Linked DNA regions of Alligator mississippiensis. The protein of the gene in region 1 interacts with the protein of each later gene in a biochemical or structural test. Links are inferred from orthologs where the notes say so. Each region holds a gene or a part of one and is shown in the gene's direction. Other genes may lie near its edges.

Region 1 (10,217 bases):
TGGCTAGATTCTGATCTCTGCCATATATGTAAATCCAGAGCAATTCTGCTGAAGTCAACGGAGTTAACCCAGTTCCATAGAACAGCTGAAGACCAGTTGGCTGCCCAGTGCTGATCTTCAATTAAAATTATGGTAATTCAAGTTTTAAGCCATTATGATTTTTTTTTTAAAGTAAGTACACTTACGCTTGACAGTAAGGCTTCTTCTGGTGGCTAACAAAGTTATTTACTGTTAGCTTCATTTTGCAGATTTCACAATGAAAACAGGCTTTGTGCCATGTCTAGGAATAGAAAAGATTAAAAGATAGTGAAAGTGTCTCATATGTCCTTATTATTCCAGCAATATTTAAACCTCAGCATTGACCCCTCTGTCCATTTCATAAATAGCCATTTACCACTGCATAAATGGCATGCATTAAATGGACACTAAATTACTATCTTTAGTAAGATAGTAAGATAATAGTAAGTAATTTAATAGTAAGATAGTAAAATAATAGTAAGTAATTTAAAAGAATTTAAAAAATAGCAAGATAAAAAAATAGTAAGATAATAGTAGGTAATTTAATAGTAAGATAAATTACTATCTTTGCAAGTTTGTAACCTCGTCATTTTTAATTATCTTCCCCAAAACACTCATAACCAAGCTTACCTTCACTCCGATAGCCACCATGAATAAAGAATGTATACGGTTAGGAGTTCAGTCTGCAACTCCAGCAGGAGCATGATCAAACCATATATTAGTAAGTAACTTTGCATATATCTATTAAACTCCAAAATGATCAAGAGAGAGTGTGTGTACTGACCTGATCTATACAGTTAATCTTCTCAGCAGGGTAAACCCCAAAGCCACATCTAGCACACGGCTGAACATTCATCTTGAAACCAACAGAGCAAAGAGTATATATCTATACACACAAAAGCTTCAAAAGATGATGACGACTTTTTGGCCTGTTTGTAACACTCCAGATAGTTCTGTAAAGCCCCTTTTCTATGATCAATTGCTCTCATTAAACTTCTGAAGCAAAGTCTCTGCTCCTTTGGTTGACCTTCTGTTTCAAAGTCAGCTGCTAGCTGGCTTTTAAAGATGCCCGTTACTAAGAGGGATTATTTTAGCAACTGTGTAAGTACATACAGAAGGGGAGGTGTTAGCAACATCTTTCTCTAAATAGAGGAGTGAAGTCACAGAAACAAATCATGTCTATGTGAATGACAGAATCTGGTCATTCAGTATTGAAGTTCGATGTTTCAGATTAGTCGTCATAACCCCAGGATGGAGATAAAGATACAGGCCACATCATCAGCAGCAGCTTATCAAAGTAGTAGCTAGTCTCCCCCATGTACAATGAATGACTTCACTGGGGGCTAATTTGTGTCTTATGTATATTCCTGTTTATAGTAGCTGGAGCCCAAGGAAGACATTGTAACTCAGAGTGAGCTGGCAGACGTTCACGTAATGGTGCAAGGGGAGCTGATCCCTGACCCAAGCAATCGCACCTCCTAACATGCCACATGTGCCAGATCAGAGACTGGATCCCAATGATGCCACTGCTAGCAGGACCCAAGGCATGGGTTTGCAACTGCTGGACAGGGGGAGTAAATCAAGTCCCCCCCACCTTCACCTGGCAGCTGCAAAACATGGCCAGGACCCTGGGAAAGGATCCCAGTCTCAGTGGACATCTAAAAAGAAAAGCATGTGCAGCTGGGCTGCGCACACAATGTTGGAAGATCCAGGTGCGCAGGGACCCTGGGATATCTAAAAACCATGTGTGCCGCCCAGCCCCTGCACGGCAAGGCAGTCAACCTGCCAGCTCCCAGGGACCCACAGCATCACCAGCTGTAAGATCTACCCCCGCAGGCACACCAGCATTATCCACTACCCTCCCCAAGGTCTGCTCAGCTTGTGAGTAAAGAAGAGACCAAGAAGATGTTGGAGGAGCTTGGGGATGCCTCTGTGAAGTGTCACAGGGTTGTTCAGGAATGGCACACATTTCTGAGGCAAGAAAAGGAGAAAGACAGGTGGGAGAAGGAAAAGAGCAAAGCCGCCAAGAGCGCACTGTGGTAACTAATTAAATAAGAAGCTGGAGGAGAATGGAGTTCACGTGGGTCAGGGGAAACTTAGAAGATGCTGGCCGCACAGAGCGGATAATACAGATGGACGTGGTAGGACAGCAACAACTCATAGACATTATGAGTAGGCATACATTGTAGGAGAGTCTGCTCTGGCAAAGGTGTCACTTGCCTTCGACCTGCTCTCTCCTTTGGCAGCCCACAGCATGCACAGCAGCCACAGGGTTTGCTAGTCCCATCCCATGGAGACCTCCTCATACTGGGACCCCACAGACCCCCTTCCCTCCTCCCTGTGAAGACCCAGCTCCTTCAGTCTCTCAAACCTCATACTAGGTTGCTCCAATGCTAATCCAGCACCCAACATTGCCAAGCAGCCAAAAAGAGGGGAAGCTGCTCGCCACAACCCTTCTCACCAACCGAGGTCTGAAGTTTTATCTCCCTTTTCCCTCCATGTTAACCCCACTCAATGACCCCGTTCTCAGTGTCCCAAATATTGTCAATGTATGGATTTGAGGCACTATTCGTTCTGGTTGCACTGTAAGGACAATAAAGTTGTGTTTCATTTAATATGGAAAATGTCTTTTTTGGGCAACAACTGAATTATTGCTGCTTGCAGAATGCATGGGTATTCAAATAGGATACCCTCACCCTGCCCGAGTATTACCAGCTACAATGCATTAAGTTAAAAAATCCTGGAAAAACGAAGAATGCAAAACGAGGCATGGACAAATTAGCCAGAGCCACAGGCTCTTGCAGTCTCACTGACCGTGCACTAAAAGCTAAAAGAATATGTTTAAAAATTAATGGAGGGACATAAAGCCTGCACAAGTGATCCTAACAACTGATCCCACAGAACCCCCGCAATGGACTGTTGCTGTCCTAAAATCCATGCAGAGCATGCAAAAGCATAGACACTATCACGTCCGTATTGTCAGTAAGTTGCCCTTTTTCATTAGGGAAAACAGGAGATTGCTCCTTAAAAACTCCTGAAAAGGCTGAAGTGCTCAATGCCTTTTTTACCTGTCTTCGCAGGCAGAGTCCACTCCCAGATTACTGTATTGGGCAGCACACTTTGGGGAGGAGGTGAGCAGCTGACAGTGGCAAAAGAACAGACTAGGGACTATTTAGAAAAGCTGGATGTGTACAAGTCCATGGGGCTGGACATGATGCACCTGAGCGTGCTGAGGGAGTTGGCCAATGTGATTGCAGAGCCACTGGCCATTATCTTGGAAAACTCATGGCAATTGATGATTGCAAAAGGGCAAATATAGTTCCCATTTTTAAGATAGGGAAGAAGGAGGATCCAGGGGATTACAGACTGGTTGGCCTCACCTCAGTCCCTGGAAAAATTATGAAGAAGGTTGTCAAGGAATCAATTTTTAAGCACTTGGAGGAGAAGAAGGTGATTAGGAACAGTCAGCATGGATTCACCAAGGGCGAGTCATGCCTGATCTGCCTTCTAGGATGAGATGACTGGCTCTCTGGGCATGGGGAGAGTAGTGGATGTGATATACCTTGACTTTAGCAAGGCTTTTGATACAGTCTCCTCTCCTACAACAGTCTCACAAATAAGCTAAGGAAGTCCGGGTTGGATGAGCGGCCTGTAAGATGGATAGAAAACTGGGTGACTCATTGGAATCAAAGGGTAGTAATCCATTGATGTCTAGTTAGCAGCCAGTATCAAGCAGAGTGCCCCAGGGGTCAGTCCTAGAGCCAGTTTTGTTCAGTACCTTCATCAACTATCTGGAAGATGGGTTGGTGTGCACCCTCAGCAAGTTCACTGATGACACCAAGCTGGGGGTGGGAATAGTAGATATGCTGCAGGGTAGTGTTAAGATTCAGAGACCTAGACAAATTGGGGGATTGGACCAAAAGAAATCTCAGGAAATTCAAAAAGGACAAGTACAAAACCCTGCACTTAGGACAGAACAATCTCATGCACCGGGGCAGGCTGGGGGTGACTGGCTGGGCAACAGCTCTGCAGAAAAAGACCTGGGGGTTACCGTGCACAATCAACGTGTGCAATTAACCCCCAAAGGCAAGGTTTCTACCACATTTTCAATGGGAGTGAACACCCCACCCCAACATCCCCAGCAGGACTCTGCCCTCACCGAACTGCCTGGCAAGTGACCCGCAGCACTCGGAGGCTGCGAGTTCCCAGCGAGTGACGGCCACAGTGAATAAAGGCAGGGCGAGGTTGGTAGGAAACCTCCACAGCTCCGAGCAAACCACACAGATCCCTGGGAAGGCATCCCCTCATTTTGTGCCTGCTGACGGGCATCCCGGAGCCCTGGTCTGGTCCCTCAGCGGCGCGTACCTCAGCACCCCTCGGTTTTGGGGAGGGGGGGGTCTAAAGCTGTGTGCTAAGGGCCTGTCTTCCCGAGGGGTGAGCCAGGGAGGGCTTCTCTCGCCCTTTGCTTCAACATTAGCCCTAGGTGCAAATGCCAGGAATGGAAATGGTGCCAGGGATGAAAAGGGTGCCTGTCTCCCTAAGGGGCGACCCAGGGAGGGCTTTTCTTACCCTTTGCTTCTACATGAGCCCTAGGCACAAATGCCAGGGATGAAAAGGGTGCCTGTCTCCCTAAGGGGCGACCCAGAGAAGGCTTTGCTTGCCCTTCACTTCAACATGAGGCCTAGGCACAAATGCCAGGGATGAAAAGGGTGCCAGGGATGGAAAGGGTGCCTGTCTCCCTAAGGGGTGACCCAGGGAGGGTTTTTCTTACCCTTTGCTCCAACATGAACCCTAGGCACAAATGCCAGGGATGGAAAGGGTGTCTGTCTCCCTAAGGGGCAACCCAGGGAGGGCTTTTCTCACCCTTTGCTTCAACATGAGGCCTAGGCATGAATGCCTCGGATGGAAAGGGTGTCTGTCTCCATAAGGGGCAGCCCAGGGAGGGCTTCTCTCGCCCTTGGCTTCAACCTAACCCCTAGGCATGAATATCAGGGATGGAAACAGTGCCTGCCTCTTGCCCTTGCTTCAACACAGACACTAGGCATGAATGCCAGGTGCCTGACCCCGGGAGGGCTTTGCTTGCTCGCCCTTTGCTTCAACATCAGCTCCAGGTGCAAGTGCCCGGGAAGGGCACGGAGCCTGCCTCCCCTCGAGGCAAGCCAGGGCGGGCTTTGCTTGCGCGGGGGCGGGACGGGACCGGACGGGGCGGGCAGCCGGGGCCAGTTTCGCTTTCTCTTTCCCTGCAGCGGGCGCGGGACGCAGGCAAGTGTCGGGCGCGGCCCCTCCGGCCCCTCTGCATCCATCCCCCCTGCCTCCCCTGCCTCCACACCCACACCCACACCCCCCGGGCCGCCCGCGCCGCTGCGCTGCTCCGCTCCGCTCTGCGCTGCTCAGGCCTTGGCAGCAGCCCTGCTCCTTATTACTTTGGGGTGGGAATTTAGGGACAAGTGTTCCCATCTTTGCAAGAGAAACCCACCCCTGGGATTCTTCCCTCATCCGAAAACGAGCTGGCGCTTTGCATGTAGCCAGGGGCGCCGCCGTGTAGAAAGGGTGGTTAGTTTTAGGGGTGAGACCCCTAAAAATCTTGGTTTAGAGAGGATACGTTTTATTACACCGACGGGGAAATTGCAAAAAAGATTAATTTTTTTTTTTTTTTTTTTTGCAGTTTCTCAGCGGGTTTAAGGCAGGGGTGGGCAAAATAAACCCCGGGGGCTGGATGTGGCCTGCCAGCCCCGCGGGGCCCCTAAACAATTTAGAAAATTAACATTAATCTGCTGCGGGCAGGCGGGCGGGCGGGCCGGCTGTCTTGCGGCCCTCGACGGCTTGGTAAAACTCAGTAAGCGGCCCAAAATAATTGCCCGCCCCTGGTTTAAGGACTGGGCTTTGGGGACACGTTTGCAGCAAAGCTTTGAGGACGTGGCATCGAGCCACGTTCTGATTAAAACTCTTATCTGTGCAGGAGCAGAAAAACGCCACGCAGCGATTTCTGAAGGGAACAGCGAGGAAACTGGGTGCTCCCTGTGCGTATACTGAACAGTTCATCTCCGCGCTTTGCCTTGTTTTCTACCTATTCTACCCATTTCTTCCTCGTTCCTACAGCCTGCCACACTTTTAGCTTCTTTCGCTCCTTGGAGTCTCAGACCAGCAGAGGCTCCCTATGCCTGACAAAGGGTGACTGCACCCAAAAGCTTGCTCAAAACTTTTCTCCAACTACTCAGCTGGTCTAATAAGAGAGATCATGTCTCCGCAAAGAACCTGTCCTGCCTGGTTTAAGGACTTGCAGGGCTCTCCAGCGCAGTGCTTGGGAGGGGACATGCCCTGTGCGTCCAATCACAAGGGACAAAGTTGGCGTTGTGTAGTTCTCCGAGGGTTGGGGAGGAAACGTGCACAGCACGGCACATCTCGGTTAGCGCTGCTCACACCGTAGTGGCGTGGAGTGAATGTGCGCCTAGTTGCCATTTAGCTGGTTGCTGCATGCTCTTCAGTTATTTTTGTTGAGCGATAACAACACCCAGGTGTTGCTTTCCTGCGTGTGCATAGATATTTCAATCTATTCCCTCCTTAGCATGGGAGTGCAATATGGGACTTCATGTCCTGCTGAAGTTCTTCCTTCTTTTACCTAAATCTGATGTAATCTGCCAATTTTGCAAATCCATGTTCTTTCCAGATTACTGAGTTATTTTAAACAAGACTAGATTTACCCCAGACCATCACATACCATTGCTTTTTCTGTTGAAGTCAAATTAAAACCTGCTGAGACTGGAAACAACTGGGAGGGCGGGGTTCCCTTACCTTACTTTTCCAATTACAGGCTGAAAGGACAGTGATATTCAGATTAATGCTCTCTGGGTCTGGTTTCCACAGTCCTGATGATGCATCAGCAATAAAAGTGTATTTGTGTATCTGTTATCAGTTGAGTTCAATAGGATGACGTGAAGTAAGGATTGCCTGCATGAGCAAGCATTTTCAGGAATGGATCTTAAGTATGTGAATGAGCAACAAGTAGTCTGCTGGCTAATACTTAAAATAGAAATAAGCTTTTAACCTAGTAAAGAGTGTGTTTTCTAGTGTGCAATGGAAACCTCTCCACTGACCTTAGGAAAGGTATTCTCAGCATACACATCTTAAAACAGGCTTTGACTCAAATATATCAATTGACATAAAAGACTGCTATGATGTCTTTGAGTAATGTGCTTTTTAATGAAAGAAAAATATGGTTTTCTGGTTTTTTTAAATAAAAATAAAACCTCAACGTTAGGAAAATATAAGATGCATAATGTGATGGGAAAAGTAAAGAAAATTAAAATTGAGTCTATCTCTATAAAAACAGTTTTCAGAATTTTTCTGTATACAGACAGTTGAGTTTGCCTGTGTACATGTGCCTCCGTGCGAGAATTTGAGGGCATTTCTTTCTGAGTTTTCTGGATGTTTTCAATTTGGGTTATAGCTACACAAATAACAAATAAGTTGGTGTCTAATTTCCAAGTGTTTCCTGCTTCTTTGCAAACATATTTGTTTTCAATCCACAGAAAACATCTTAAAAACATGCTGTCAGGCATTTTGCCATCATTTTTTTATTTTTTAAACCTAGTTGCAGTTTGTGGACAGATTTTATTGACTCGTTTTATATCCCACCCTTCCATCTAAGTCAGCAGTGCTCAAATTTTCGGTCCTGTGGGCCAGATGAGTGGGGAGGGACCACTCTGCAGCCTGGATCGGCCCTGGGATGCCCGACACCACCCTGTCCCTGCCCTGATCGCTGGGATTTGTCCCCAGGGGCCTACCCCCACCCAACTGTGCCCCAGCACACTGGGATTGAGTCCCAGGGGCCTGGTGTTGCCCCCTCTTAGCTTTCCATACCGGGCTTGGGGCCTGGAGCTGCACCCTCTTAGTCCCTTGTGTGCTGGGATGGGGCCCTGGGCCTGGTGCTACCCCACCCAGCCCTGCATGCTGGAATTGGGTGCTGGATCCAGTGCAGAGCCCAGGGCTCCCCATGGGTCCAGGAATTTGGCAGTGGTGCCACTCCTCTCCCACCACCAAATTTCCAGGCGTATGGGGAGCCCCCCGGGATGGATGACACAGGGCCAGATTTGGCCCACAGCTGGGGGTTCAGTGCCCCTGGTGTAAGTCATCTTTTAATAACTACAAAAAAATGTAACGGGGATAACTGAGTATACACAGTATCAGATTGGAAGATCCAAAAATCGTACAATATTTCACAGTGTAACTGGCTTAATAATTTTATTAGAAAATATATTTGGTTTAATGATTGGTGTTTTTTATTAGGTTTCTTTTTATAGACAGGTTCCAACAGTAATAGCAGTCCCTGAAGGACACTTACTTACATTCGAGTTCTGTTTGAATTTGTTTGTGTAGATGGCAGAAAAGCTGTATGCTGACGGGCCTCAGTTGAACATGGAGGCTGAAGAGCTGGATGATACAGTGGATGCAAGGCCAGACAGAAGTGAGAGATTGCACATCTTTGGAAAGTAAGCAATGTTTTTCTCAAGTCCATTCAATTGGCAAGCCTGCTTGAAGTGGACTGTGTCCAGTTCTTCTGTACTTTGGAGGACATCAAGTGTTGCTGGAGGCAAACATAGTAAATCTAGTAAAAAAACCTGATAAAATGTCTGGAAAGATAAATGCAAAAGTGCTACCTTTGACTAGACATACTCATCCTCTGCACCCCAGCAAAGCATTTTTCTATCTAGACAGTAATTGATTATACTGCAAGGAGAAATGCAGACTGTGCTGCATGATGTTCCTTCCCTTTACTGCCTCGATTCAAAGTGAAAATGAGAAGGAATCCTAGTTGGCTAGTTTCAGATTTTATTAATAATAACCATCCTAAGGCTTTTTTGAAAGTCAGAAGTTACCTAAGTACATTGAACTTCAGCCTGGTTCTTGCTTCTCACATGGCTCTTAAATGGGGGTAGCAACTGGGAATTGAATGCACTGTTTTCACTGCACTGAGTTTGGATATTCTGCATCATGAGAATCCCCAACAGGCTACTTAGGACATCCTACACCCATCTCCCTCCAAAAAGTTTCACCAGGGCCAAGGAGGTAGCCTGTTACCCAAGAACTTAATCTTCTTGGGAGCTGCAGAATCATTTTTACCTTAATTTTAAGGAGTGCAATCCCCACTGAAGCATCATTTTACTTACCATAACTTCATAGGAAGTAGGAAGTATCGTCTGTGTTATGTTAGACCTTTTCTTTTGGGAAAATAGCCATCTGGAACTTCTAACGGCCCTTAAAGTGAGAGAAAGACTATTTTGTGCTGAGGGTTTCTTGGTGCTAGTGTTTTTCTTAAAAAGGGCTTTTATAATTTATGTCCTCTGCACTATACAACCTTGAAGTGAATGGCCTAGCCCTGACCAAGCAAAGGGAAGGCGTTTGGCTTTTTATTTACATTGTAATTATGAAGAATGTGTTAATGCACAGAGTGTATAAGGTTTAAAACCCTTACCTAGGAGTCAGAAGAGCTAAGTATTCTTGCAGCAGAGTTGCAGAGTTGACGTTCAGCAAGTAGCTTCAAACTTTTCCTGCTGCTTTTCTTAAAGAAGTGTTTTATGAGGCTTAATTAATGGAAAGCAATGGAAAGCTGTTGTGGAGGGTGTCATAGAAATGTCAAGTATTCCCATTGGTGCACTTCTAAAAAAAATGTAAATATTCCTGTTTAAGATTATACCCACAACCTGCAGTGCTAGCAGATACAAGCAGAGGATGTGACATTCTGCCTCCAAAACCTGAGCAGCAGTTTTTAAGGACATATTTTGAAATTAATGCAACTTGTGTTTAAAAAGCAAAATTGTTCCTCTCTATGGGGAAATAGTCTCGTTCCATTATTTTGCTACTTGCAGTTTATCACTTTTAGTGGAAGACAAGAATCAATGTCTTTATGTGCTGAGAAATGCTTCAAGCAGCGTAACTGCCCAGTGTGCCAGGCATTTGTATTTTGGGAACATCTGGGGAAACGTTACCTTACCCAGAGAGCAGGGCTGTGCAGCTGAGAGCTCCTGAGCTGCATGCAGCACACGACGGGGTAAACTGTGGCCTGGGGGCTTATCAGTGGTGTGCCACCTCTTCTCCCCCCCAACCTTGCCCCATACTTAATGCCCTCCACCAGATTTGGGGGCATCTGTTGGCAACTAAAATCAGAGGCGTGGTAAAAGTGACAGGTGCAAATGAGGACG
Region 2 (9,893 bases), on another chromosome or scaffold:
GAGACTGAATGGCCTATAGTTGCCTGGGTCCTCCTTCCTCCCCTTCTTGAAATGGTGACCACGTTGGCCCTTTTCCAGTCCTCCGAGACCTGGCCCGCGCGCCACAAGTGCTCAAATATTCCCGCCAGTGGCTGCGCAATGACGTCAGCCAGTGCCTTCAGTACCCTTGGATGGAGCTCATCTGGGCCTGCCGACTTAAACACATCCAGTTCCTCCAAGTGACTCTGCACCATCTCAGGGTCTACGCATGGTAGTCTGGTGCCTTGCTGCTGCCTCTCTACAACCCCAGTGAGAGCCTTGTCTTGCCCCTCGCTTAGGAACACTGAGGCAAAGAACTCATTGAGGAGTTCAGCCTTGTCCCCCCTGTCTGTCACCAATTGCTTATGCCCATTTAGTAGGGGTCCTATTCCTCCCTGGGCCTTCCTTTAACTCCCTATATAGCTGAAAAACAATTTCTTGTTATCCTTAACTTGGGATGCCATCTTCAGCTCCATGGTAGCTTTGGCCTGTCTAACTGCCTCCCTACAAGCGCAAGCAGAGGATGTATACTCCTCTTTGGTAATCTCTCCCCGTTTCCACTTTTTATATGCTCCCCTTTTAGCCCGTAGGCTGCTCTGGATTTCTCTGGTCAGCCAGGGAAGCTTTCTGGCCCCTTTCCTCTGTTTCCCTGCATCAGGATCGTCTCCCTCTGTGCCCGAAGGATCATTTCCTTAAGGCACAGCCACCCTTCCTGGGCTCCCATCTCTTCAAAACTCCTACTCTGCAGTGCATCCTTGACTAATCGCCTGAGTTCATTGAAATCAACTTTCCTAAAGTCTAGCACTTTCACCCTACTTGTTACCTTACCCACTCGATGCCTTATGATGAATTCTATTATTTGGTGATCACTGTCCCCCAGGTGACCACCGATCTGTAGGTCCCCTACCATGTCATCCCCCGTTGCCAATACCAGGTCCAGTAAGGCATTCCCCCTAGTGGGACCATGTACTTCCTGCGTCAGGTGGAGGTCCTGTACACAGGATAGGAACCTGCATGAACGGTGGGACTTTGCTGTCTGCATCTCCCAGCAGATGTCTGGGTAGTTGGGTCCCCTATGACTACCGCCTCCTTAGTTTTTATGGTCTCCAAGAGCTGCCTCAGGAGCCCCATATCTAGCTCTTCCCCTTGGTGTGGGGGTCTGTAGCAGACCCCTACCACCAAATCCCTTTCTCCTTGACCCCCATGTAACCTAACCCACAATCCTTCTACTTTCTCCTCCTTCGATTCCGTCTTGATAAGGGTCGATGTATATTGCTCATTGACATAGAGCGCAACCCTTCCCCCTTTCTTCCCCACCCTGTCCTTTCTGTACAGTTTATAACCCTCAATATGTACCACCCAGTCGTGGGAAGAATCCCACCAGGTTTCTGTTAGCCCTACTAAGTCATAGGTGTTTTCTGCAAGCAGGAGTGCTAGTTCATCCTGCTTGCTCCCCATGCTCTTAGCGTTAGTGTATAGGCACTTGAGCCCTGTGACTGGTGCCTTTGCTGCCCCCCAGCTCTGATTCCCATATACTGCTGTCAACTAGGATGTTAGCTCTGGAGACACAAATCCACAGTTTGAGAACAGAAACTAAGCATCACAGAGGTGCTTAATGGGATCTTCTAGACTGAGCACTGAGTCCCATTGGGTAGAGTGGTTTTCTTTAATCTTTACTAATCTATAGATCCATAAGACCAGGCTCCTAATATAGTCCTGTTGCAACCTATTTATAAAACTTTTCTAAACAAGTTACATGAATATATTGTCTCAAATGATATATAATTAGAAGTTGTAATCCCTATTCCATGATATCTTTGAGCTTTAACATATCTTAAATTAAAACTATCTTTATATAGCATGTTAACAACAACAAAAATCACAAAAATATGATTAAATAAAAAAATGTGATTTAAATAAAATAAACTCCATTTTACATTTTTTTTAATTGTTGATTTTTATCCATCCTCTCCTAGAGCTAAACTTGTCTCACCCTTATGGATGGCCTTTTTTCCCTGGGTACTGCTTCTCTGCAGTCAGCTTCCCTGACTGCCTGCTCAGGCTCAGGGACCTTTCAGTCACCTGGCTTTGCCCACCACCATGCACAAGAGTATCTGTAATCCAGTGGTTCCTAAACTGTGTGTGCATGGGTGTGTGTGGGGGAGGGTGGAGAACTGGGGTGTGTGGGAGTATGGTGGGGTGTGGGGTGTGTGGGGGCTGTGGGAGGATGGATTTGGGTGTATGTGGGGTCAGGTGGAGTGTGTGTGGGGGTAGGTCCTCAGAGTCCCTGGTGTGAGCAAGTCTCTTGCGCCACAAGTGTCAGCAAGCAGGGCCAGACATGCCCAGCCCCATAGCACGCAGCTCCTGCCTGAGTCCCTGGCTACACATGGCAGCACATGTGGGGCCAGCCGCACCCAGCCCCATAGCGCTCCTGCTCAAGTCCCTGGCTGCACGGAAGAGCAGCATGCGGGGCCAGTCCCACCCCGCTCCATAATGCACAGCTCCATCCGGAGTCCCTGGGTGCACATAGTGGCAGCAGGCAGGGCCAGCCCCACAGTGCAAACTCCAGCCCTCCTGCAGCATGCAATGCCAGCCCAGCCTGGCCCCATAGCATGCAGCTCCCCGTACTCCTGTCCCCTTTCCCCCTCAGTGGGTGTCTCTGGCCCCTGGCCCGGTAGGGCCCTTACCTGAATTCCCACTTGAAGGAGGAAGGCTGGGAAACAACTATGGGACTGACACCTTGGGGCTGGCATGGGCCAGGCCAGGCTGGGTTGGGGGGTGGTTATTTAGCAACCAGAGCCACATCTCTTGCGTGGAGGTGCTAGCTTGCAGAGGGGCAGCCCAGGGCCAGGCTTACGGAAGGTCCCCACAGGCTGGATGGAATTGCCTGATGGGCTGGATATGGCCCGCGGGCTGTATTTTGCCTGCCCCTGGTTTAGATGGAGGAATTTTCCATTTTTCCCCTGTACAAATAAACAGTTATCCCACAGTTACAGGCAGGATATGGAGGCAGGGTAGATTTGCACCTTACAGGCTGACGAAACCAGAAATGCATAGCATAAGCTTGTGTTAAACAGATCACTTTACCTCATTCAGTGCTTCACCTGATGAAGTAAAGCCATCTGTTTAACAAAAGCTTATGCTATACATCTCTGGTAACCTTTGTTTGTTCTTTGGCTTACATCTCTCCCTGGCATTTACTCCCCATAATGTATTTATAGGAAGCAAACATACACCCCCCCCTCCCGCCCCACCTTTATTTTACTTGAACAAAGCAGCAGGTTTTTTTGTCGTCTTTTGTAAAACAGACATTAGTCTCCTGATTTTTCTGTCTGAATTCATCTTTCTTGAACAGGGTGACCAGAATTGTATGCAGCCTTCCATGAGAGGTCTCACCAGTGCTTTGTATGGTAACAGATACTTTCCTATCTCTGCTGAAAATGCATCTCATGAAGTAAACCCACTGCTTATGAAAGCTTATGCTATGCATCTCTGATTTAGTTAATCTACAACAGTGTGTCTCAACCTTTTTTGACTCGAGGCATCTCCATACTGCCTGTGAATTGAGCAGCACGCCACTTCAAAACCTAATTTATTTGCATCCACGGCAGGGGCTCCTGGCAAAGGGTGCAGGCAGCAGCCACGGAGGCAAGCCTGAGCCTGTACTTATCTCCTCACACCTCAATGCACCCTTCAGAAGATCTCATGCTACCCCAGGACCCCTGACCTCCTGGTGGAGAATCATTGGTCTGCAGCAGAGGTTCGCAAACAGTGGTCCGTGGCCCACCACTGGTCTGTGAGCTCCATTTAGGTAATCTGCAGAAAGGAAAATAGGAGTTGTGTGCTTCGATTAAAAAGTTTATTAAGTGGTCTGCGAGACCCTCAGCCATTTTCAAGTGGTCCACCAAAAAAAAAAGTTTGAGAACCACTGGTCTATAGGATGCAAATCTAACCTGCTTCCTGCCTGACTTCAGACTACCAGGGCTAATACCTCTGTGTTTATACCGCCACCCAAAGTGTATAAACCTCTGGGTTTATACAGTCCCACCCAAAGTGCGACTGTAGCATGGACATGAGGGGTCATGGTGAGCTCCCACAGGTGGCAGCCATGCTGTTGGCGGCAGGAACGTGAGGTGGCGAGGGGGAGCTCCCGCAGGCAGCCGCGGCGGTGTCAGTGATGGACGCTGACTGGTGGTCCGTGACTGCCTGCGGATAGCGTCGGCAGTGGCCAGCAGTCCTCGCAGACTGCCCACATACACTGCCAGCGGCGTAAGCAGCAAGGGTGGGGGTGGCGAGTGGCGACTGCCCACAGGTGCTGCCGGCAACGCCTTTTTGCAGAGGGTGCACGTGCACCCACTTCACATTGCCAGTGAGTGTGGGCACACATACCCTCCCTGGCATTAATCTGGGGTAGCCAAGATGCAGCTTCACAGGCTGCAGTGATACCGCCTGGGCCTGCACGGTCCTCACACGCCAGCTTTCTCGGAGCGGACTGAAGCCATGGGGACTGGCAGCGGCAGCCCAGACACTCAGGGCACCGCACCTGCAGGCAGAAGAGCAGCGGAGCCCTCCTGAAAACACCCCAAGTGGCCAGTTACTGGGCCAGCGCCCAGATCCGTGCGCTGGTGTCGGGGGGGGAGGGCGGGCAGAGGGGAGAGAGCCCGGGGGGCTCGCAGCCTCCAGCGTTGCAGGACGCGACTCGGAGGCCGGGCGGGCGCGCGGGCGGCTGCAACCCGGTACCTCGGCTCCTTGGCGGCGGGAGGCGGCCCCGCCGGCGGGCAGGGGAGGGCGCTGCAGCCGGGGCGGGGCGGGGCGGGGCGCGCCGAGCCGAGCCGAGTCGAGCCGCCGGGCGCCGCCGCAGAGCAGTGGAGGGAAGCGGCGGGCCATGGCCATAGCGCACCTCGCCACCGAGTATGTCTTCTCCGACTTCCTGCTGAAGGAGCCGGCCGAGAGCCGCTACAAGGGGCTGCGGCTGGAGCTGGCGCTGGACAAGATCGTCACGTGCATCGCCGTGGGGCTGCCGCTGCTGCTCATCTCGCTCGCCTTCGCGCAGGAGATCTCCATCGGTAACGCGGCCCGGCCCGCCCGCTGTTGTGTCTGCATCGGCCCCGGCCCCTCGCTTCCCCTTTGCTTCTAGCCACGGAGTCACGTTGCATTAGGGCGGGTTGAGGTCTCTTAAGCCCCCGGGAGTCTGAAGCCAGGCAGGAGGCAGGGTGGATTTGCCCCCTATAGACTGGTGGCTCTCAGACTTCATGTTGGAGAAGCTTGCTTCGTGTTTACTTGGCGAGCGCGTTAGGGAGGGGGCTTTTCTGGGAGGCTGTGGAAGTACCGCCGCGCCCCTCTTAGCCATGGTCTGCTCTGGAGGTGGTCAGCGCCGCAGAAAGGACCTAGGAGCGGGTCCGGAGAAGGGCAGCGAGGGGCTCCGGGAGGAGGCGAGGTGCGGTCAGTGCAGGAGAGATGCTTGTGGCGGGGCAGGAGAGTGGGTTGCTGAATCCCAGACGGCGAAGAGAAAGTCAGCGGGGATTGATTATGGACTCTGGCAAGACTAGAGCTAAGGGCGCTGATACACGAGCAGCAAGGGTGCTCTGATACGCTCCAGTGGCAGCGTCGGGGCAGACTCAGTCAATTGAGTCTGATAGCAGCCTCCAGCATCTCGTGTATCAGCATCCCCACACGTAAAAATGGCAGTGGGGGTGCTTTATCTCAAGCTCGTTTGATGAGCTTTACATAAAGTCCCTCAACCAACATTTTTAAGCCCAATACATGAGACGCTCCGGGCGTTTTAATTAGAGCTGCTCTAATCAAAGCACCCCCCTCTCCCACTTCGGGAGCACGTGTATACACGTAACGAACCAAAGGAGGTTCTCTTTCACCCAGCGTGTAACTAAAGTGTGAACTCGTCACCAGGAGTTGTGGGAGCTGATACTTTAGCTGGCGAATTCAAAAAGGAATGGGACACACTCTTGGAGGAAAGGAAAATGAGGAGCTGATGAGCACTGGAGTGCAGGGCACAGCCTCTGAAACAGGACTTCCTAGCCCTTAAATGCTGGAGGCTGCAAACCAGAGATGAACAGCGGGGATGGGGTGGAAGAGCCCTGGTCAGATCTAGTTCACTCTCTCTTCCAGCATCCACTCTCTGCCCCATGTGACGGGCAAGCGGGCAAGATGGACCCATGGGCTGACCCAGTAAATGGCTGTTCTTGTATAGCAATCCAGGCAAAGCCCTGGCCGTCTCTGCTCCATCGTTCTCTTTCCATTCCGCCATTAAATGATGTTACATTTGGAGGGGAAAAAATGTTTGATTGTTATGTTTACGTGTGTTCTTTGCTGGACTTTGACATTACAGTATATCGGAAGTGCTTTATTTTACGTGCTGTTACCTTTGGCATGTTTATGGCCCTTCGAGTATCTGAGAACCTTACAGTCTGTAGCATGTTTATGCTGAGAGACTGCAGGTGACGAAGGGCTTTTATCCCAATTGTGTATGTGGGGAACCAAGACACAGAGTGACCCAGTGACTTACCCAAGGTCAGAAGGAGAACTCAGAGGTGAAATGGGGGTCTCATCTCTTAAGCCCATGCTGACATCCCAGCTACTGATCTATCTTTTTTCATGCTTTTTCTCTCCCTGCTCTGATTGTCTGTTATTAACAGCAGCATTCTCCTAAACGTGATTATAGAGGTCAAATGTCTTTGCCATTGATTTCTCAAATGTCACGTTGCTTTTCTCAGTCCCAGAAAAATGGTCATGCACACACAAGATTAAAGGGCAAAGGACATGTAAGTTACTCATGGTTTATGACGGGGGTTCCCAGATTCTGTTCCATGGATTGTAAAAGCCCTCCCACCCCCTTTCTTTTCAAAGTTTGATGCTACGGATGTATGGTTGGCTGTGATTAATTTTGTGGCATGACAGTGTTCTACAGACTCCAGAAGTGATCTGCAGTATTTGAATGGAGCCTTTATGATACAGTCCCAAAGAGGGGGTAGATACTTTTAACTGTAGTACCCCAGCGGGAAATCAAGACTGTACCATGGGGGAGACCATCCATCCCTGAGCTTGAGGCATGGCCTGTTTGCTCTCTCCTACCGCCCCTTCCTTTGGAAAGATATCCCTGCCTGAGTGTGCACAGAGAGCTCAGTCCGTGCAGTCTTACAACTGCAGGGACTATAACTGGCCTTTGGGTGGGTGGCATGGTCCCCTCTGCAACCTCCACCACTAGCCCTCCCAAGGCAAGTCACAATCTTATCTGAACTTAAGCTGTAAATTAGAAAATTTGTGACTTAACTGGTAATAGTTTTAAGGCCTGATCTGGCAAACATGTAAACTTATTGATGGGACTAGTCCCACTTGCTGTAGTAAGTGTTCTGAGCCAGATTTTAGGTGTCTCAAATTTGTGTCTTGGATCACCTAGTATCGAGGGGCATTTATAGATGTGCAGCTCCAAGAGCCATGCTAATTAAAGCGCCAGGAGCATCATGTGTATCAGTGTCCCCACACTGAAAAATGGCGGTGGAACGCTTTGAGCTAAAGCTTTTTGAACAGACCTTTCAGTGCAGAGATACTTGTGATGCTAGAGTCTGCTAGAGAAATGCATGTGATGCTAGAGTCTCCTGGACCGTGGTAATTACCACGGTCCAGCAGACTCAATTAATCATAATTACAGCACGTTGAAGCAGCCTCCCCACATATGTATAAGAGCTCTAGGTTCCTGGCTTCTCTGTTAGGTGTTTTAGGCTCCCTATTCAGGATGGGGGGAGAATCGGGCATCTTAGAATTAGGTCAAAAACAGGTAGCCAACTGAGTGGGGAGCTGCCTAAAGGCAGCATCCCACTGCTCTGATGGCTACAGGTAGACAATAAGGAAACGCTGAGAATGGGGGGAATCCAAAATCTCAACCCTCAGATGTCTTACTTGGGGTAAGAGGGAGGCACCTGTGTCTATTTGGGACCAACCAATCACATAAGATCTTAGGAAAATGGGGCTAGAGGGGATCTTATGAGGTCATCTACTCCAGCCCCTTGCTCAAGGCTGAATCATCCCTGACTAAGATAGGCACCCATGTCCTTTCTTTCAAAGAACTGAGTAGACTTACTGTTTGAAAATGTGAGGGATGGCAGGGAGCTACTTCTGCCTTTATATAATAGTTTAGTGGCCAGATCACTCACCCAGGAAATAAGAGACCTGGGTATAAGACAACTTCTCCCTAAGGTAGAGGTAGGCAAAATGTGGCCTGCCAGGCCATTCTATCCAGCCCATGGGGCCCCTAAAAATGTTAGAAAATTAATATTTATCTGCCCCTGGCTGCCTGTCATGCAGCCCTTGATGGCTTGCCAAAACTCAGTGAGCGGCCCTCTGCCTGAAATAACTGCCCGCCCCTGCCCTAAGAGGATTCAGATCCACAGTTCCCAGGAGAGTGTCCTAAACACTATGATACAGGCTGTGTGTATGTGGGGAGAGGTCATTTTCCACCTCATTTCTATGTCCCTGTGCAACAAATAGAATAAGATTCACTGGGCCACAGACGCTGCGTAATAGAGACCATTGTTCATGGGTGTGGGAGGGGAACAAGCAGAGTACAGACCTAGGTTCTGACCTATGCCCCAGGACTCTTTCATGTATTATTTTATTCAAGTAATTGGATAAACTACAGTCCTGGGAATTGTTCACCCCAGCCCTTCTCTTCCCTTCCCCCTATCCCCCCAGCAAGTATCCTGACAATTAGGCTATGTAGTTCTCTGTTTTATGCTCTCCCTCTAGGGCCACTGAATTGTGCATGCTTTGCTGCCCAGTGTCACAGCTGCACAGCAGGAGGTATGGAAAGTGTCCTTCTAAGAATATCCTATCACCTCCAGGCATGGGAGCTGGGGGTTTGATTCCCTGTCAGAGAGAGGAAGAGTCTGAATTTGGCCCTTCCAGGTATAAGTGGGGAGTTACCATCTCTTCTTTGAGATGCATTTTAGAGCAAGTTGTGGTCATCATTGCCCTTAGTGCCTCATGCTGTGATGTGTGTTCAACATGCTCAGAATCCACCTTCTGGATCAAGTCTTTCAAGGAAGGAGCATTTAGTTCCTTGACCCTGATGAACTTTATCTGAGCTAGGCACTGTGCTGCACTGCCTAGCCATCAAGCTGCAGGCAGTTCTAGACATTTGCAAAGGCCCAATTCACAGCACTTGAAAGAAAAAAGAAAGATGACTGAAGTTTAGGTGCCTCCAAGGTTAGGCAGCAGCTGAGCAGGAGTTTTCACAATTTCAATTTTGGACTGGGGTGCCTAAATTTTGCCTCTTGTTAATCAATCAATCTACTGTGCTGTAGTGAACTATAGGGTGCATCCTTTTATAAGCTATCACTATAGGGAAATAGTGTTGGATGAACTGTATTTTATGTTTCTCATATGTAGAGTAGATAAGTAGTAAATTAGAGTTAGATTCTGAAATCATTCTGTGAGGGAAAGTCACATGGAAGTTCGGGACTATTTTCTGAAGAAATATCTGACTGAAAACTGCCTCCTTAACCACATAATTTGGTTTTTATGATTATCTCCCAGATTTCCCTGAAATCTCCCAGAAAAAATTATGTGGAATTTATGATTGATGATTGCATGTGCCAGGTCAAGATTGCTTGCACACATGCTTCTTGGCTCTATATCTTTGTACTCTGTTTCCAAAAAATCCTTAAACAGGAATTGTGATTTAAGCACAGATTCTTTTAATTTCTGGGAAATTAGTGAGGGGCTTTCCACATCCAAAAGATGACACTGATTTACATTTTGTATCCAACTTTGTAAACAGTATTGGAGTGTTTAGTTTTATAAAAATTATGCTCTGCCTTTAAATAGCACTTAGGCATTATTTTCTACTTTTCTAGGTTATG
Region 3 (10,132 bases), on another chromosome or scaffold:
CCCTGATCCCCCCGGAGGGGCCCGCTGACGAGCCGCCCCTGCAGCCCGTCCTGGTGGACCTCTCCTCTCCCAGAGCGGCCGCAGCCCCGGCCGATGTCCCCGCTCCTCCTCCTGCGGCCCCGGCTCTGGCCAAGCCGCCTGTGCTGAAGAATGACAAGGGTATTTGTTGCCTGGGTGTGCTGTGCGCATGGAGTGTCCCCAGCCACCCGCTGTGCACTAACCCACAACCCGGCTTGGTAGTCTAGAGGGTGGTATCCCCACAGCCTGCCTGGGCCAGGGTGGGCAGGCAGGCTGCGGGTGCTGCATGGTGTTGCGTGTCACTAACAGGGCTCCCACACACATGCACACAGCTTGGGGGGCGGGGGAGTTCAGCTCTGTTTCCCAGTCACCCGGTTTGAGCCCCAGGCAGCTGCTTTGCCAGCGTCTGCTGCGTGTCTAACCCATCCCTCCCTAGCCCACCTGCCTCTGCATCTGGGGCTGCAGGGTCACTCCAAGGCCTTCAGAGGTCAGGGTAGGATGCAGACACTGGAGCTGCCCATGAGGCAGGTGCTCACTGCTTTGGCTTCCCTCTGTGTCAGCCACATCCATCCACTTCCCTGCCTTTCGGGGGGGTGGGGGGTTGCAGCTGCCACTCGAGCGTGCCCTGCAGGCTGAGGGCACATGCCAGTCTACCTGTTTGTGGCTGTATCTAGACTATGGTGGTGCCAGCACAGGGCCACCAAGCTGCTGCCTTGCTCACAGGGAGATTTGTGCCAGCTTCACCCCTGGCAGAGCCTGAGTCCTGGGACTTCAGGGCCTGGCACAGCTACTGGCTTACAGGACCCAGAGCCATCTTGCCCGAAGGGGGTTTGACCTCACCAATGGAGCCAGCAAGAGGCCGGGCTCCAAGAGAATCGGATCTGGTTCCCATGAGCTACGCTGGCCTACTCCCTGGTGGGACCGGAGCCACCTTCACGCTGGCGTCTGGCACATGGCACTGTGTTGTCAGGGCTCGAGCTGGGTCCTGAGAAAGGCACAGCCTTTGTAATCCACTGGGCCTGGAGAACAAACTGGGCACCCAGCACCACAGATCCAACATTCACAGCACCACGGTGGGGGCCCAGCCTGAGCAGGTCTGGCTGTTCTGTCTGGGCCTGCCTGCCCCTCGCTCCGTGCTGGGAAACCTGACACCCATTTTCTCTCCCCAGGGTCTGGCACAGAGTCCGACAGCGACGAATCCGTCCCAGAGCTCGAGGAGCAGGACTCCACACAGGCCACAACACAGCAGGCACAGGTGAGGGTCCCACCAGACGGGAGGAGGGTCCTACCGCACTGGGGATGGGCGCAAACCTGGGAAAGATGTGGATGGCATGATATAAGCCCTGGGCTTCATGGGCAGCTCTCCAGCAATGGGAGCAACTGGCCTACCCCCACTGCTGTCTGATGGTCCTCTTGCCTGTGTTCCTGCAGCTTGCAGCAGCCGCCGAAATAGATGAAGAACCCGTCAGCAAAGCAAAACAGAGCCGGAGCGAAAAGAAGGCACGGAAGGTATGAGGAGGAGCTGACGTGGTCCAAGCTGTGCGGTCCCCCTACAGGCAGCCTGGGAGAGCCTGGCAGCAGGAAGTCAGGCCCAGCCTCAGCCCTGCCTCAGCCTGACTCAAGGGCGCTCGTGACCCCCCACAGCTCTGAGTTTCCCTGTCTGTGGGAGAAGCTAGAGCACACTGAGTCAGCCCAGGGTCCCATGGTAAAACGGAGGCCCAAACCTGGCCTCTACTTTCCCTCTTCACCCCCCCATCTCTGACCGTGGTTCTATAGCAGTCCAGTGCTGAGGCTGTGCCAGCCCTTTGGGACACGATGAGCCCCAGCCCGATACTTCCCTGCTCCCTTCGCTCTCTAGGCAATGTCCAAGCTGGGCCTTCGCCAGGTCACAGGAGTAACCAGGGTCACCATCCGGAAATCTAAGAACATCCTCTTCGTCATCACAAAGCCAGACGTGTACAAGAGCCCCGCGTCAGACACTTACATTGTCTTCGGGGAGGCCAAGGTGCGGGGGCGGTCTGGGCCATCTGTCTCTCACTGACCTATGTCTGGGTTGTGGTGGCAGTGGCGGGGACTTTTCTTCCGTGGGTGTGGGCAAGGCAGGAGTGTTCCTTGGCACCTTGTCTCGGGGTGGTGGCCGGGCTCTGGGGATGCCCGCAGAGCCCCCCCAACAGCTTCACTGCACCACGGCCTCTTCCCCCAGATCGAGGATCTGTCCCAGCAAGCACAGCTGGCAGCCGCTGAGAAGTTCAAGGTGCAAGGAGAAGCCGTGTCAAACATCCAGGAGAACACACAGACGCCCACAGTGCAGGAGGAGAGCGAGGAGGAGGAGGTGTGTGCCCACAGCTGGCCCTTGCGTCTAGCAGAGCATGCTGAGAACTGGGGCTCTTACTCCTGTTTGGGTGCCATTCCCCCTCCCTGCCCCTACCCTGGGTTGAGCGATGCTGTCTTCATGGGGCCAACCCCGTGTCAGCCTGATGCCCCCCAAGCCAACCCTGCTTCTCTCTGCTCAGGTGGACGAGACTGGCGTGGAGGTGAAGGACATTGAGCTCGTCATGTCGCAGGCCAACGTGTCCCGGGCGAAGGCAGTGCGCGCCCTCAAGAACAACAGCAACGACATCGTAAATGCCATCATGGTGAGTGTCCCTGTGGCCAGGCACCAATTGTGGGGCAGTGAAGAGCAGCAGGGAGCGGGTTTCCCCCGGGACATACAGCCATGGACAGTGGTGCCAGGAGCCCTGTGGGCCATGCCTCTGAGAGCCCATGCCTCCTTCCCACCTCTGCTCGGTAGGGCCAGCCTGGCACTGCCCTGCTCGGGCATTCCTCATTCTCCATCCTCACCACCTGGCAGGGATGGGGCAAACAGGACGGCTCCAGGCATCCCAGCCCCCTCTGGGCTTTGTGGCCAGGCAGAGAGCCAGTGGGGGGAGGTGCCAGGCTGCTAACTGCCCCATATCAAATCAAGAGAGCTCAGAACTGTCTGCCCCCTTCACAGGAATCCCCCTGCCCCACGTGGGGCAGCCTCTGATCCCTCTCTCCCCTTCTCTCCCCTTCTGCAGGAGTTGACGATGTAGCCGTGGGAAGGGAGGAACCTTTTTGGTGTTTCAAAGCAGAGTCGATCACAGCTAGATTTAACCTTTGTACAATTTCTATCAAGGAATAAACGTTGTGGCTTCTTGTTGGTGAAACCCTCCTATTTTCTTGGTTGAACTCTGCACTTCCCAGAGGAGCTGAGCCCGTGGGGGGCCGAGATGCGCCTTGTTCCCCTGCCTTCGTCCTCTGTGAGGCAGCAGGACCCCCGTGCATTAGCCCCTGGGTGTGTTTCCTGAGCAGGGAACACTGGTCTTCAACTTGACGTCCCAGCAGGCAGGTCTGTGGAGTGTCACTCAGAGCTGGGGCCAAGTCCCTAGAAATCTGGGCTGCCATACGTGAGGGGTTTAAACCCGACCCCTTTGCCTCCTGGCTCTCAAGCCTTCACATCGTGCTTTCTCCACGTCGCTCCAGACCCAGACGCCAGGGTTGTATGGATGGGAAATCCTCTCGGAAACGCGTGAGCTCACCCCAGGGGACGACGTCAGCAAACACTGAGATGCCACACGAGCCGGCGGCCCTGTAATTACACAAACAATTCCCCCCTGAATGCTGTCTTGCTGGGAGGTTTCCTCGGAGTTTGCTGCCAGCAGCCTGCTGAGTCACCTGCTGTGGTGTGGCCCTTGCCTGGACTTGCTGTCACTGTATCGTCTTTCTATTGCAGTGGCACCACGGAGCCCTGCTGCCCGAGGCTTGGACATGCGGTAAAACAGGTCCTGCCATTTTAAACGTGCCATGTTGGGGCGGTGCAGCGCAGTGAAAAGCCCAGCTCTTCGCTTGTCTCTCTCATTCCCCCAGGCCTGCGGGTCCCAGCTTGGCCTTATCCAGAAAGCTGTTGCCTGTGGTTCAGGGGAGAGTCCTCAGGGTTCAGAAAGGAGGTGGAGAAGGGTGCAGCTTTACCCCACAAAGTGTCTTAAGTATCCTGAAATGGAAGACAGGAGCTGTCTTAAACCCAATTAGCTCCAGTGCAGAGCATAGTGCCAGCCAGAAACCTCAAATGAAGTTGGCAGGAGGCCACAGGAAGCCCCTTGTTACCTTCCCAAGCCTTGCTCTCGTGGCCCACAGAACTACGAGGGCTGAAATGAGACGTGGTTGTGGTCTGACCAGCTTAATAAGAGGCGGTAGAGAAGCAAGTCCCTTATAAGAAGCCTTGGAGGAGGGGGGAGCCAGGCCGAGCGAGATGGATGTGGTGGCAACATTTGGGAAAGAAAGTGAAGTGTGAGGTGCAGGGGCAGGATGGTCCAGAGGGGAGCAACGAGGTTTGCAAGTGGCCTGGAGCACACGAGGTTGCGTTCGTAGGCCGCAGCAGAGGAATGAGAAGAGAAGAGAGCTCCCCATACCCCTTTGGTGGGGGCTTGAGGTGATTCTTGTCAGCAGGTGTTAGTCGGTTGTCTTCCTGCTGGTCCTTTGCCCTGATCGGCCTGAAGCCTGATTTGGCTGGGTGCCCACAGGGCTGGATCTGTGCACAGGCTCACTGCCTGGAAAAAGATGCAATGTTGGAGAACGCGGAGGAGGGACAATGGGCTCTGCTACGTCCTGTTCTAGAACAGAGGCGGGGGGGCTTTTCCTTTTGCTGCCTGGGAGCAAAACAAGGAGCTTGATGGGCACCCATGGGCTGTGTGGAAGACCCTGGCAGGCTGTGCTACATCCTGAGTAGTTCTACACTCAGGCTGCTTCATGGTCTGCTGAGGAAGAGCAGGCAACCGTGCAGCCCGCATGCGTCGCTATCTCTACTGGCAGCTGTCTTCGCGGTTCCTGCAGGAACGAGCCTCGCAGAGCAGCGCGTCGCTCGCAGCAGCAGCTCTTTGGCAAGGTCTCTGCAGTGGGAAGCTCCACTCCAACACAGACAGATGCAGAAGCTCAGGACAGACCAGGACCTGCAGCAGAGGAAGGTGGTTCTGAGCAACCCAGTGTCCTACGCCCAAAGCAAATAGGGAGGTTGCCCTAGCACTCCAGGCCATGTACCAGGCTGGGGCTGGAGTCCTAGCTGGTGCCCTGGTGTACCTACAGGAGACAGTTGGCCCTGGGGGCGCCAGGGAGGGGGGCAGGGGGCTATCCCCAGCTGTTGTCCCCGGGCCTGTGCACCCTTTCACCCCCTTCCATCGGCCCTGCTCCTACTTGCAAAGGCGGCAGAGCCGCCCACGCCCAGGGGACTCCATTTCCCAGCCTCCACCGCGCCCGGAAGGAGGAAGGGGGAGCGTTGCCGCGGCAACCGCGGCCGCCTCTCGTCCTTTCCCCCAGTGCCGCGCATGCGTGCCGAGAAGCTGCTAGAAAGGAGTGGAAAGAGCCGCGGGCCGTTGCGGCGCAGGCGTAGTAGGGTGGGGGGGGCGCCGGAGGCCGCGCACGCGCGAGGGGAGGCGGGGAGCGGAGGGCGGGCGCGCGGCGGGTATTTTGCTGCGTCACCAGCGCCGCGAGCCGCCGTTGCCCCAGCGCGCGCGGGGTATTGTGGGAGCCAGGCCAGGCCGAGCCCGAGCCCGAGCCCTGAGGAGCCGCCGCCGCCGCCGCGCCCTGCCCGCCCGCCCGGAGCCGGGCCCCGAGCCCCGACCGCCGCCAGCGCCATGTGAGGGGGGCCGCGCCCGCCCGGGGGGGAGAGGGGCGGCCTCAGGGGCCACGTGCGGGTGGGGGGGGGCGGCCCCACGCGGGAACGTGGCCTGTGGCGGTGGGGAGCCGGGCCTGGGCCTCCTCCCCGCGCGGGGCGGGGGCGGCCTTCGCACGAGGTCCGAGGCGGGGACGAGCGGCGCGACCTTGAGCCCCCCCCCCCACACGTGTGTGTGTGTCCCACCCCATGTAGAAAGGGGAGGGGCCGAGCCAGGCGGTTTAGGGCGGGGGGATGGGACGGATGGATGGCCGCCCCCCCACGTGCGTGGGGTGGGGGGTGTCCCCTCCCCAGAGGATGGGGAAGGCCCTACCCCCAGGAGTGGAAAGTTGCTGGTAGGCGTAGGGAGCCCCCACCGGGGTGGCTGCCCCCCCCCACACCTGAGGGTGGCTCCAGGCAGCAGCCGCCTGCCCACCCGCCTTAGCTTTTTTTACGCTGGGCTTCAAACTGATTTGAGGAGGCTGCTATGCCCAATTAGCTGTCCAAAGGGGGTGGGAGGGTTTGTTTTATTCTCCCCCCCATCGTTTCAAGTGTGGTTTCAGGCCCCCTGTTTGATGCCGCCCGGGTGGGGGGAGAAGAGTCGGCTCCAAACGCACGTGGCTCAGCACAGAAAGCGGCGCTGGTTCAGGCGCTCCCGTTGTCCAAAGGACACCGGCTCCACGCCTGAAGCAACTGGATCGTTTCCAATGAGTCGCGGCCTGTCCCCGGTGCCGCCCGGGGAGGCGTACGTGGGGTTGCTCGCGTGAAGAGCTTGCGCTCGGGCTTGGCCTGCCAGTGACGACGAGCTTCAGTCGTGTAGCGTTGTGACGAGCGTGTGGATTGAATTAGTAGCTTGTCCTGATTCTGGAGAAACTAAGGACCAAGACTCTTGCTTGCGCTGAAATGGGACATCCAAATGTCCCCGCAGTTGGTAATGCTGGTGCGGCTCCCCGGGAGCCGGCAACCTTGGGAGCGTTTGCACCGGCAAGTCTGCGGGGGCTGAAGCCGGGAGCAGTTCTCCCTGGGAACACGTGAAAGGCTCGCGGACTGCGTTTAGGACTCCCAGCATTGCCAGTGGCCAAGTCCCACCAGCGGAGAAGCACCGATTAGGCAAATTGGTGCTTGCGTCGTAGAGGCCCCTCAGCAGCAACCCGGTGTTTTGGGACTCTGACCTGGCCAGGACGGTTCTCGCCAGGCTTTGGGAGCCTTGATTAGCTGCTTCGTTATGAGTCTATTGCGGTTGCTTCTCTGACCCAAAACTGAAGTGTGCCATTCATAACGGAGCGACAGCAGGGCACGTATTAACTCTCTAGACGTACCGGTGGCAGGATCACTGAATTGGACGCTGCTCGACTTCCCTGAGTCAAGCGTTATTTCATAAGGGCAAATGTTGCCCTTAAAAACCCTGCAGTGCCTTGTGAACTGGGTGGGAGTTGAGCACATGGTGGAAATGGCTTCAGTTACTGCGTGTGATGATTTAATGGGTCTTTTTACTTGATGGTAGGAAGCAGCCTCCAATAGCAGGCATGGGACTGGCCACTCAATGTGTGGGATTGGTCAGCTTCCTTGGATTAGCTGACTCGTTCCAACTTCTGCCCCGACGATGACTCCTGTGCAACTAATCCAGCATCACTTTTTTTTTGTATTTCTCCTACCCAAATTTAATTGTAATGAGAAAGCTAGTAAAACAGGGTTGGTTTTTATCCCATCGCAACTTGATATAGTGCCATTATTGTATTATATCTGCTCACTTCCAAACTAGGGCAGGGACAAAGGCATGGCTGGTCCAAGTTGTGCTGGGAGATGGAGCAGGGAGGGAATATTTGGGGAACCAGCTAGGCCAGGCGGGCATCTCCAGATTGATAGCCTCTCCTTGAGCTGTATCTAGGAGCGAGTTCTCCAAAACGCGAGTGCCACCATTGAATCCCTGGCCTGGTTTAATATACCCCGTGCCCCGTTTCTTTGCTCCCCTTATTCTCTATACTGCTGCAGCTTCCAGTGATCTATAGACTGACGTGGAGTGCATCACAGCAGTCCAGAGCAGGCATGACACGGGCTTGGCTGTCTTGGCAGGGCTCCCATAAGTGGGGGAAACTGGTACAATCTTTATGCTAAATGCACAGTTAAAAAACAATGCCTAACTGCAGCAGCCAGCTGAACTTTCAGGAGCAGCATTCAGCATCACATCATTAAAGGTCACTTGGTAAAGTAGGAGTTCTGATGCTTGCCACACTGCAGTACCATCGCGCTCTTTGCTCAGGTTGAGTGTGTAAATTTGCCAGTCAGGCTGAGTTCTCATTTCAGAGCATAGGCAACCAGAAGCAACTGCTCTGATCCAGTCCTGTCAGCACCAAGCTTGAGTTTGTCTGATAAAGAACATCCCTGCCCAACATGAAACATGGGGACCCTAGGTAGGACAGGCTGCCTGTTGCATGAAGCTGGAAAGACTTTCTGGCTGTTTGGTTTTGGGACATGCAGGGTTTGTGGCATTATTAAACCACCTTGGGTGGAGCACTGGAACAAAACTAATGTATTTTAGACTTCTTACAAAGCCAGCATGGTGGCTGCACCTCATCTCTTGTGGCCCGAGTCACCTTCCTGGCAAATCTGAAGCAATATGAGAGCAGCTAGTGTTGCCTGCCTCTCGCAGCAGAGCACATTTCTGGTGAGATGCTCTGGGTCAGGCTGGGGGTGGGGGGTGGGTTAAATGATAGGTCTGCATAATAAATGCATACAGCTGGGAGTACTGAAAAGTCCTGAGGCTGGTCCTTGCTGCGAGTGGGGAAGTAGATAATGTGCTGCATAACAGCTTTGTGTGCGTGGTGGAATAACCCTCCCGCACAAGTGTTCAATCAATCTGACGTGAACGTGCGCATTTTACTACTGGTCTCTGTCCACGTCTTCCAGGAATCTTAAAATACAGGCGTGTAATGTAAATATGTTATGGCACTGCATTGCTTCCTCTGAAGCTTCTGCTAGTCATGTTGAAGCATCCTGTTGTGCATCACGGAGTGCAGCACTTCATGAGAGAACCAAAAACTAAGGTCTCTGTTAAATGGTTGAGGGTTTTTTTCTTTAGTCTGTTTTGAAGGATTTAACTTAATTGTCCTTAAAAAGGTCATCAGCGCTTCTTTAAAAAAGAAAAAGGTGAATTTAACCTGATTGCAGCAAGTATTTTAGGGGATTGCAGCCTACTTTAGTGTTTAACTGTCTAATCTTGGGTTAGAAAGGTGACAAATATGTACTGTATAATCATAAAAAATGAGGGTTGAAAGAGACCTCAGGAGGTCACATCTAGGCCAGACCCCTGCTCCAAGCAGGGCCAGCCCCAACTAGATCATTCCAGCCAGGGCTTTGTCGAGCCTAGCCTTAAAAACCTCCAAGGATGAGGTTTTTAGTGTATACAATTAAAATTTTAATTCTGAAGCTTTACCTTCTGCTACTGCCCTCCCCTTCCACTGAACAGCTTAGAATTGGGCTGTCCCCTTTTAAGTCTAGAGCAAATCCTTTCAAAGACATAGAGTGGTGACTCTCAAGCAGGGTGCCACGAACTCCTTTCAAGGATGCCACAGCATGCCACACAACGGCAGCACTATTAGGTGTGCAAGCATGGCTTGCAAGATAAAACCCTATGGCCTCAGACCAACACAGCTACAGCCAGCACCCCCAAAAGGCACACCCAGAGATTTCAAATAGGAACCTTAATTATTAAAAACGGCCTGACCTGTTGTGAGCTTTCTGACTTCTTTGCAACTGAAGAATTGCTCTATTTTATTTTTTTTGTAGTAAGAACAAAAAAAAGATGAGGGAAAACTAGAAGCTGGCACTTTCCAAGGCATGCCTAAAGCCTATCGAGGGGTACCTTGAGCCTATAAAGGCTGTGAATCCCAGATTTAGAGGGTCTCTATTATAGTGCAGTTGGGACCTTGTTCCTGTAAAAGCCTGTTAATCTTGGCAAAGAAGCCAAGGGAATATATCCAGCAGCCCTGGCTGAGGAAACGTACATAACTCAGAGAAGGCTGGTGATATCTCCATTGACATGCAGTACTTGCAAAATGTCAATAGAATTCAGCAAACTCTCTTCCTTAGGAAGAGCAGGGACACTGAGACTTCTGTTCTGACACAGCCTCTCTGCGTAACCATGTCCCATTCCATGCAGCTGAAACATTTGTGTCCTGGTGGCACGAGAAGTGACACAAAGCATCCAGAGTACCAAGTTTGGGCCAGAACAGAGTAGAAGCAGAGGGGGCTCACCCGAGTCCTCTGCTCTGTGGCTGTGAGCCCTAACTAGGGAGGCAAGGCTCATGGGAGGAACTGGGAATATCATGTGAAGGAGTTTCTGCTCTTGTGTTATGCGGTTTGCACTGAATTTTTGCATAAGTGGAAAGGGAAACTTCTTGCCATTTGCACTGTTTCTGATATATGCTATTCAAAGATGTTGGCCCTTCT

What was found.
Region 2: of the proteins of CASP7 (region 1) and PANX1, one has a biochemical effect on the other in vitro, tested with the Homo sapiens proteins (2 studies listed by IntAct). The link is inferred for Alligator mississippiensis from reciprocal best matches to the Homo sapiens genes CASP7 and PANX1.
Region 3: of the proteins of CASP7 (region 1) and PTGES3, one has a biochemical effect on the other in vitro, tested with the Homo sapiens proteins (2 studies listed by BioGRID and IntAct). The link is inferred for Alligator mississippiensis from reciprocal best matches to the Homo sapiens genes CASP7 and PTGES3.

Annotation. Positions count from the first base shown.
Region 1 is NC_081829.1:92,561,720-92,571,936, reverse strand, and holds the start of CASP7 (caspase-7), read left to right. Parts: upstream 1-5,252; 5' UTR 5,253-5,280; intron 5,281-5,977; 5' UTR 5,978-6,038; intron 6,039-8,394; coding exon 8,395-8,507; intron 8,508-10,217. Other genes in the region: NRAP (nebulin-related-anchoring protein), read right to left, coding at 186-280, 803-874. UniProt on the Homo sapiens protein: Thiol protease involved in different programmed cell death processes, such as apoptosis, pyroptosis or granzyme-mediated programmed cell death, by proteolytically cleaving target proteins.
Region 2 is NC_081824.1:447,802,818-447,812,710, reverse strand, and holds the start of PANX1 (pannexin-1), read left to right. Parts: upstream 1-4,854; 5' UTR 4,855-4,903; coding exon 4,904-5,084; intron 5,085-9,893. UniProt on the Homo sapiens protein: Ion channel involved in a variety of physiological functions such as blood pressure regulation, apoptotic cell clearance and oogenesis.
Region 3 is NC_081838.1:6,972,181-6,982,312, reverse strand, and holds the start of PTGES3 (prostaglandin E synthase 3), read left to right. Parts: upstream 1-5,326; 5' UTR 5,327-5,357; coding exon 5,358-5,668; intron 5,669-10,132. Other genes in the region: NACA (nascent polypeptide-associated complex subunit alpha), read left to right, coding at 1-159, 1,188-1,273, 1,450-1,527, 1,877-2,023, 2,222-2,350, 2,532-2,654, 3,078-3,092. UniProt on the Homo sapiens protein: Cytosolic prostaglandin synthase that catalyzes the oxidoreduction of prostaglandin endoperoxide H2 (PGH2) to prostaglandin E2 (PGE2).